Linked DNA regions of Oryzias latipes. The protein of the gene in region 1 purifies or fractionates together with the protein of each later gene. This does not show direct contact. Links are inferred from orthologs where the notes say so. Each region holds a gene or a part of one and is shown on either strand. Other genes may lie near its edges. The genes, in order: ddx24 and fbl.

What was found.
Region 2: the proteins of ddx24 (region 1) and fbl purify together in Homo sapiens (affinity purification with mass spectrometry; 3 studies listed by BioGRID and IntAct, with this or other methods). This does not show direct contact. The link is inferred for Oryzias latipes from reciprocal best matches to the Homo sapiens genes DDX24 and FBL.

The regions. Positions count from the first base shown.
Region 1 is NC_019880.2:12,476,942-12,481,483, reverse strand, and holds the start of ddx24 (ATP-dependent RNA helicase DDX24), read left to right. Parts: upstream 1-1,709; 5' UTR 1,710-1,826; intron 1,827-1,951; 5' UTR 1,952-2,030; coding exon 2,031-2,820; intron 2,821-2,911; coding exon 2,912-3,325; intron 3,326-3,539; coding exon 3,540-3,693; intron 3,694-4,131; coding exon 4,132-4,542. Other genes in the region: serpina10 (protein Z-dependent protease inhibitor), read left to right, coding at 1-12. UniProt on the Homo sapiens protein: ATP-dependent RNA helicase that plays a role in various aspects of RNA metabolism including pre-mRNA splicing and is thereby involved in different biological processes such as cell cycle regulation or innate immunity.
Region 2 is NC_019874.2:7,462,132-7,466,482, forward strand, and holds the end of fbl (rRNA 2'-O-methyltransferase fibrillarin), read left to right. Parts: intron 1-518; coding exon 519-613; intron 614-857; coding exon 858-1,028; intron 1,029-1,199; coding exon 1,200-1,332; intron 1,333-1,418; coding exon 1,419-1,531; intron 1,532-1,658; coding exon 1,659-1,804; intron 1,805-3,175; coding exon 3,176-3,200; 3' UTR 3,201-3,682; downstream 3,683-4,351.

The DNA.
Region 1 (4,542 bases):
ACCAAAAACTAGTAATGTTGTCTCTGTTGCTGTTTGAGCTCTGCTGTAGCTATGAATGACGTTTTACTTCTGCTTTCTGTTTGAAATTCCGAAGGCCTGTTCTGTAAAATCCTCCAGTCAAGCCTTAAACAAATATTTACTTTGATTCTTGTCTTTGTATTTAATCAATTTTATTTAATCATGCTTTGCTTTGTTACAACTGGTGCTTTGATAACTATTAAAAATGTAATCATGCAAAATTAGTTAAAAAAAAAATAATAATAAATGTTTTCCAGAGTTTACCATCAGTTGCTTTTCTAGTGTGTAGTCAATAAACAACTTACTGATTAGTACAACTAATGACTTATGAACTTTTTTAACTTATAAAGGAATAAAGAGTTTTTTGTTTTGATTCAATGAATTTTTTCAATTTAAAAAGCGAAATATGAGTTTTAAAGGTGTTTTAGTGGTTGAATCTACCACAGATCTTTTTTTTTTAGTGTACTTCTGCTAAATACTATTATATGCATGAATTATATAGAAATGAATACAATAATGATTAAGAATTGTCTATTCACTTACTATTAAAGCAGTTTCAACTAAATGGTATTTCTGAAGGGTAAAAATCAGATCTCATGTAAATATTTGTGGACAGAATTATGTTTTACATTGATACATAGATGTTATCCTCTTAAAATAAAAACAAAACAATAAAAAAATATTAATATAAAAAGAAATCTACTTAAATATTATGATACGAATGTTGTTCCCTTGAGAGATGATTTCTCTCAAGTGATGTATATGATTTCTTCATCTGCAAACATTATTGTTAAGACAGGTATTGGCAGTTGTCAGTAGAAGATCACCTTCCTGGTTGCATTAAGTCAAGTGTCACGTTAAGTGGAAGGAGTATTATGATGTGGGGCTGTTTATCAAGAGATGAGTTTGGCCCCTTCAGTTCCAAAAAACATCTGAATTCTTTACATGTTTTCTGTAATTGACCTGCAAATCCAGGTCAATTTTGTTGTTTTGTAGTGTCACTTACAAATAGGGGCGTAACGATTTATCAGTTTAGTCGATTAATTGATTTGTATTCTCCAGCCAGATCAGTCTGCCTGAGGCAAGTTGTTAATCAAATTAACCTAAACCATTATAAAATCCTTTCAAAATTAAATAAATGGATTGTATCAATATTGGAAAATCCCATCTGGATTGAGGCCCTGTGGGTTCATTTTACAATAACGTAAAAACAACAAAGTACCATCACAGCGGACAACACAAACAAATACAAGGAATCTGGAAAACTTCACCTACACTGTTTAGTACCCAGATATATTTCGGCTTAAAGATTAAAACCTGGATTGATTTTAGTTCAGTGAATCGGATTGTTCAAAATGAGTCGTATCAGCAACCACGAACTACAGTCAGGACCATAAATATTTGGACAGACACGTTTTTTCTAATTTAGTTTCTGTACATTACCACAGTGACTTTTAAGTTAAACAACTCAGATGCCATTGAAGTGCAGACTTTAAGCTTTTATCCCATGGGTTGAACAAAAAGATTGCATTAAAATGTGAAAAACTAAAGCATTTTAGCAGGTTTTGCTTTGTTAAATGTTTTCTTGTTTATATAGCAGAGAATACATTTGGACATAAATGAGATGCTCTCTTCCACATACAATCATCGTTCTCACCCTTCTTTTCGGGCTTGTACGCATCCTGTGTTTAAATAAAGTTTTTACAAAACATGTGATCAGCACTGTCATGGCTGCGCCCTCGTGAACTGCATGGTTGTTAACGGTTGTGCGTGTATTTTGATACTTCATAAAGCTCCATCGAATCCGGGTAACGTACCATTGTATTCCTTGTTAATAATATAAAAAGCCTGTTCAATGCATTAGCAGTAAGTTGTAAACAATCAGTTGCGCTCATCGTCAAACGTAAAGGCTAACGGAAACGTCTCGTGTCAGATCTCACAGGTTCACTCGTCTTCACCTTTAGCATCAAAGATAATTCACATGTATTAAAACTGTAGAAAAAGTGAGAAAAATGAAGACAAAGAAAGTGGAAGCTCAAAACAAAAACAGCTCGTTTAGGTTAAAGACCCGGAGCATCCGCGCTAAAGGAACATGGAAAGCGGTCGAAATAGATCCCAGTGTGTTCTCGGAGCAGGGTTTGGAGGGTCTGGTGTGTTTTGAAGAGCTGAGGGATTATCGATTGATAGACAGCGAGAAAGCTGCAGCGAAGCAACTTCAACGAGAGAAGAAGGTGGCTAAGAAAAGAAAAGTCGCGGAGGAAGACGAAGCTGGAGAGACTCCTGCTGAGCCAGCTAAGAAGAAAGCAAAGAAGAAAAAGAAGGGGAAAAAGGTGGCTCCAAAGGAATCTGTGGGATCGGAAAGTGGGGATGCAATAGGAGAAGACAAGGCTGTTGATAAAGAGGCGGGGAAGGATGAGATCAGTGAGGACCTCTGTGAACAAGAACACCCCCCAAAAAGAGAAAAAATAAGGAAAAAGAAACTGAAGAATCATTCAGAGAAAGATCCCGTCACGGAGGAGCAGCCAAAGCTGGATTCTCCATCTGAAACAAAAGGTTTGAATAAAGGTCAAAATAAGACAAAACCCATCAAAAAGCAGACAAAGAACTGGACCTCTGCTGCACTCTGTGGCTCTGATGATGACAAACAATCTGATGTGAGTGCGTGGAAGGACTTGTTCGTTCCCTCTTCTGTGCTGAAGGCTCTCAGCAGCCTGGGATTTGAGTCACCGACTCCCATTCAAGCTTTAGCTTTACCCCCAGCCATCAGAGATCATATGGATGTCCTGGGTGCAGCTGAGACTGGTGAGCTAAAATACTTTTTTTTTTTTTTAAGTCTTGATTTTTGCCCCTTTGTTTCCACATGTTCTCACGTGAAGTTTGGGTGTCGTTGCAGGAAGTGGAAAGACGTTAGCTTTTGGTATTCCTATGATCCACGCCATCTTAGAATGGAAGCGCGGCACAGAACAAAGTCTTCATGACAACATCGACAAAACTCCCCCAAAGGTGGTGAGTTTATATTTACCATCAGTGGAGGAGTCTGCAAAATCAGAAGATGAGTCCACAGCTGTGGGGAACCAGGAGGGGAGTGTGGAGGCTTCAGATGAGGAGGACAGCTCAGCTGAAGATGGCAGCGAGGATCAAGATGAGAAAACAGGAAGTGTCTGCACGGTCAAAAATGCCGAGCGCTGTGTGGAAGAACAACTTGCTGGTGGCCGGTCTCGGCCCCTCCTGGGAATGGTCCTGACTCCCACCAGAGAGCTGGCTGTTCAGGTCAAACACCACATTGATGCCGTCACAAAATTCACTGGTGAGTCTCCATTCAAGGAAGCATGTGACCGCATTCAGCTCAGAATAACATATCTAATGAAGCAAAAAAAAGTGTTTACATCAATGTTGTGTGAGTTGTAACAGTCAAACACAGCCCATTTGCAAAGAATTTCTGAACAAATGGGAAGGAGATCTCTGCTGATCGTTGCATCTGCTGGAATACGTCTCCATGAGCTGCTTTTTCCATGTTCCAGACATCAAGACAGCCATTTTGGTGGGGGGAATGGCCCAGCAGAAACAGAAGAGGATGCTGAAACGCTGCCCAGAGATCATTATTGCCACCCCTGGACGTTTGTGGGACTTGATTAAGGAGAAGCATCCTCATCTGCTTAACCTCAGACACCTCCGGTTTGTCACCATTCAAACGCACTGATATTGATCTCCTTTCAGTCTGTCAAAATCTAAATTGTTGTCATTTAAATAAATGATTGGTCATCAAGTCATTACCGTACATTTAGGTCAGTAAGAGCTGCATTGGTTACAAACTAAAACACCTTTGTCTACATTTTCCACATAATGAGTTTCACACTTCCTTATAAGCTGCATTTTCTAGCTTACAAATGATGGTCCAGCACGTTAAAATGTCTACATTCAGCTCTACTATGTTGTTCAGTTATAGGTTTCTGACCCCAAAAAATGCTGGTATTGGAGGCTCAATGGAACCAACGACCTCTTATTCCTGAAATCGCAGCAGAATCTACCTATTACGGATTCCATTACGGATTCTGCTGCTTTGGGGACCGACCCGTTTTGTTTGACACTTTTGCGTTTTTCTTCCCGATCCAGGTGTTTGGTGATCGATGAAGCTGATCGCATGGTGGAAAGAGGACACTTTGCCGAGCTGGAGAGCCTGCTGGAGATGCTCAACACCACACACTTCAACCCCAAACGGCAGACTTTTGTGTTCTCTGCCACTCTGACGCTGACGCACAGCCTGCCCAGCCGCCTCCTTCAGAAGAAGAAGAACTTGGAGAAGAGGAGCAAACTGGACATTCTCATCGAAAAAGTAGGAATTAAGTCCAAGCCTAAAGTCATCGACCTCACCCGGAAAGAGGCAACTGTGGAGACCCTGACCGAGACACAGATCCACTGTCAGAAGGATGAGAAGGACTTCTACCTATATTACTTCCTGCTCCAGTATCCTGGCCGCACCATGGTTTTTGCCAACAGTATTGATTGCATCAAAAGATTGAATTC
Region 2 (4,351 bases), on another chromosome or scaffold:
GGTTATCTCAAACATTAGCCTGGGTCTTAAGAGGTTTAAACAACGCACAACGATGTCTGGTTGTTGTTCAGAGTTTTTGAAGTCTGTATTTTGCATTTACACGAGTGGATTTAAAAAATTGTTTTCTACACCTATGTTTAGTTTTGACAGTAAAAGAAATAAACAGGATGAAAGCGCACCAAAGTCATGACAGAAAATGTCACGTTTGACCTGTTTTTTGTGTATTTTTATTGTAAGTAAATCTGCTGCATCAGAAGGATCTTATTTGACACAGCGTGCACTTTATTTTGAAAGGAACACAGATCTGCTGCTGTAAAGAGTAAAGAAGTTCCAGATGTTATCTATAGAAAAATATAAGATTTTAGAAATATTTAAAAGGTAAATCTTACAAAGGAATGGGTGTAAAAAGGTGTATTTTTCTAAAAGGTTAAGTGGGACGGCCCTTTGAGCGTTTCAGAATGAAGATGTAAGGAGGTTATGTATGTGGGTCTGACGGTCTGGGTCGTGGTTTCTTCCAGGGGTGTTTATCTGCAGAGGGAAGGAGGATGCCCTCGTCACCAAAAACATGGTGGTGGGAGAGTCTGTGTACGGGGAGAAGAGGATGAGCGTGGAGGTAAAGAGCCGCTTCTGTATTGTGAGGTTGTCCCTGTAGCTCCAGTGCTGAAGGGTTGGTTAACCCTCAGCCTCTGGTCCCTGCAACAGCAAAGTGTAAAAACTGAAACCATAACTCCTGTTTTTAAAATGTTTGGATCCTTTCCTGCTAGATGACGTAAACTCTTGGCTGGCTTCTGCAGCAGAGCTGGACTTGGTGGATTTTTCTTCTGGAAGATGATTGTGGATTTCCTGTTTTTGATCAGGAGGGTGATACTAAGATTGAGTACAGAGCCTGGAATCCTTTCCGCTCCAAACTAGCAGCTGCCATTCTTGGAGGAGTTGACCAGATTCACATCAAACCCGGAGCCAAGGTCATGTACCTTGGAGCCGCATCGGGAACCACGGTGTCCCACGTCTCTGACATCGTTGGGCCAGTAAGTACATTTCAGAAGTAATCGCATTGTTGTTGCTGTTGTGAAAATGCGTCACTGCTGTCAGTACCCATATGTGGTTTGATCAATATGCAGCTTTGACACATTTTGTCAGAATAAACCGTCTGACTCCGCCCCCTCTAGACTCATGTTGGATCTTGTTTTTGTTTTAAGGAGGGGCTGGTCTATGCAGTGGAATTCTCCCACCGATCTGGCCGCGATCTCCTCAATGTGGCTAAGAAACGCACCAACATCATCCCCATCATCGAAGACGCCCGCCATCCGCACAAGTACCGCATGCTGGTTGGTAGGTGTCAGTGCCTCAGCACAGCGGCTGTGCGGACAGAGCGCTTCTCCTCCCCGGCCTCACGTTGGCGCTGTGCTCCTCTGCAGGCATGGTGGACGTGATCTTTGCTGACGTCGCTCAGCCTGACCAGACCAGAATCGTGGCCCTTAATGCTCACAACTTCCTGAAGAATGGTGGACACTTTGTCATCTCCATTAAGGTATGACGGCTCACATTTCCGTTGGAGACGCACTACCCTGGGGATGAGGAGAGGATGTGGTGTTGAGAAGGAATCCGTGTTTTGTGTGTATCTGTTCGGTTCTGATCATAGTTCTCTCCTGATTCAGGCCAACTGCATCGACTCCACAGCAGCTCCAGAGGCTGTGTTTGCGTCAGAAGTGAAGAAGATGAGCTCAGAGAACATGAAACCGCAGGAGCAGCTCACCCTGGAGCCCTATGAGAGGGACCATGCGGTAGTGGTGGGCATCTACAGGTAAAGTATGGAACGTTTGACGGCTTGGGTCAGTGGGTACCAGCAGGTGATGGTAACACATTTCAGAGGATCAGACATGCTTACAGCCTGCGCTGCTGCACGTCCTGCTACTAAACCCAGAGAACACTGCTCCATTTTTAAACCGCTTTGATCTAAAATCAAACAGGAATTTGACATATTTTGCCATTTTGGTCTGTATTTAGAACAGCAGGGGCTTGTCAACATGCAGCCTCTGAAGCTACGTTCACACCGGGCTCAGAAACGCATGTTCAAGCAACTGCTTCCACTGAAAAGTAAATGCGCTTTTAAGGCTTCCTTGTTTTTTGGAAGTCCGTTTTTGGGCTCAGTGTACAAAATGCACGGCCACTGAACGCGCATCACTAGTTTAAACCCGTTGAACTTTGACTAATCGGGGACTCTTTGATGGCGACGTCTGGATGGCGTCCTTTTCAAAACACGGAAGTGCCAATCGTATAAAAATTGATCGTGAAGGAGAAAATAACTGTGGTTTAGTGTCCGGCCGGAATTCAATGACACAAAGTCTTTCATATATTGGAATAGAGCTGCGAAAGAAAGTCTGGAGCAAAATTTACCCGATTAGCACCGTTTCCACATTTCCCACGTAGACTTGTCCAACTGTGAGTGAATGCGCCAATAATGGGCAACACCGTCTGCTAAAAGCGTGTTCAAGAATGCCCGTTGCGTTCTTGAACACGCTTCACACGACCGGTGAGGACATAGCACAAGTCATCTCTGACCGTCAGTGATGCTGCAGAGACGAAGACGGGCGCTGGTTTCAGTATCACTGTGTTTAACCGAAGGAGCCTTTTTGCAAACGAAAAACATTCACTTTGAAGAGTGAATGTTCTTTATTTGGCATTTCGTTTAATATTTACAGTAAACTTTTATCAGTAAACAAAGGAATGTTGTGTCCGTTAACATCTAAATACAGGGAAAGAAAAGAAAAAGTAGAAGCAAAGAACTCGTGGAAGTGCAATCAGAAAAGCCTTTGACCCACATGTTCGTCTTTAAACTTCTGTTTTTTATAAACGCTGCAGCGCTTAGAGTAAAATGTCTGCAGAGATTTAACATTTGTACTCCACAAAGAGGACATGATGGTTACATCCTCTCCTCACTTCATTTACTGCATCTCATTGATGTAGAACAAAACCTGATAAAGGGGAAAACATCCTGGTATGTTCTGGCTTTCTGTGGATGATCTGGTATCTCATGAACTGTGAACTGCTGTGATTGGCTAAAGGAGATCTGATGTTTGTGTTTCATGAAAAATCCAACATCTTTAGACGTCAGATAATTGGATAATTGGGTTCAATGTCAAAGAAGTGACGTCTTTCTGTTTTCTGATTCCAGACCGCCACCAAAGCAGAAGAAATGAGGTGAACGAGAAGACCTTTGACACTGGCTGTTTTTACCTTTTTTTTCTTCCCTTCTTCTTCAGTGTTTTTTTGCTTTTGTAAAGTCCTGAGCCCCCCCCCCCCTCCTCTGACTAAAGACTGGTTGCCCTAACTTCCTCAAAGGAATAAGCAGCCCTGTTCTCTGACTAGACGAGGCTGGAAAGGTGTCATTCGTGGTTACTCGCTGCGACTTCAGCCTACTGCTGTCTAAGAAACCTGCTAACGCTTTGAGGTTCAGTTGTCACAAGCGTGGTCCGACTCACATGTTCGCTCATCCCTTCATGGATGTTTGTGGATCTCTCCATGGAAATAACCTATAACTGTTTAAGGAGCCTCTCCAGGCGTGAGAGGAAGACCACTTTCATTTGGTTATCAGTCCATCAGATTGCATGGTTGATGAGAAAATATATATTTGAACCCAGCCGTTTTTCTCCTTTTTTTTAAATAAAGAAGAAACTTCTAATTTCTCTGTTACTGTTTGAAATGAGCACATGTCAAGAACTCCGTGTCCACATGTTTACCAATGTCCCATTCAGCTCTTCCCATCTGTCCCAACGCTGTTGGAACTTCATCCAGCATCTGCTTCAGTCGCTGAGTGACGAGACACGAAGGCATCCCTATTAGTCAGAAGGAGCCCATGGTGCCAGTCTAAGCTTCTGCAACTGTTCCTTACTGATGGCCTACAGATGCTTTAGGATCCAGCTTTTGGTTCTCTCCATTGTGGGACGTCAGTGTGCACGCGGAAGCCAGCCATCCTCTGGTTCATCTGCATGCCAGCAGAGCCTGGTCTGGCCTTGGTTTGCACCAGATTCAGGTGGGCTAATGCCAAACCCAGAGAAGCGACAGTGTGGATCAAACCTGTTACTGTGGGGTTTGTTGCCGTTTCAAATTGTTCAGCTAACCTTCAAAGAACCTAGCTTGAGCCAATGTGATCCATCCCTAACCCTGGTACAGCTGGTCCAGGCTAACCTGACCTGGGCTCTAGCGGGGCAGGGGCAGACATCCGCCAGGTCTGCAGCACAGAGAAACCGCACTCTCTGGCCGCCAGCAGAGGGCGCACTTCCCCCCCGAACTGGGTCGCCTGTTTGCGAAACCGCGCAAATGTTAACTCGTGTGACCTCCTGCCAAATTA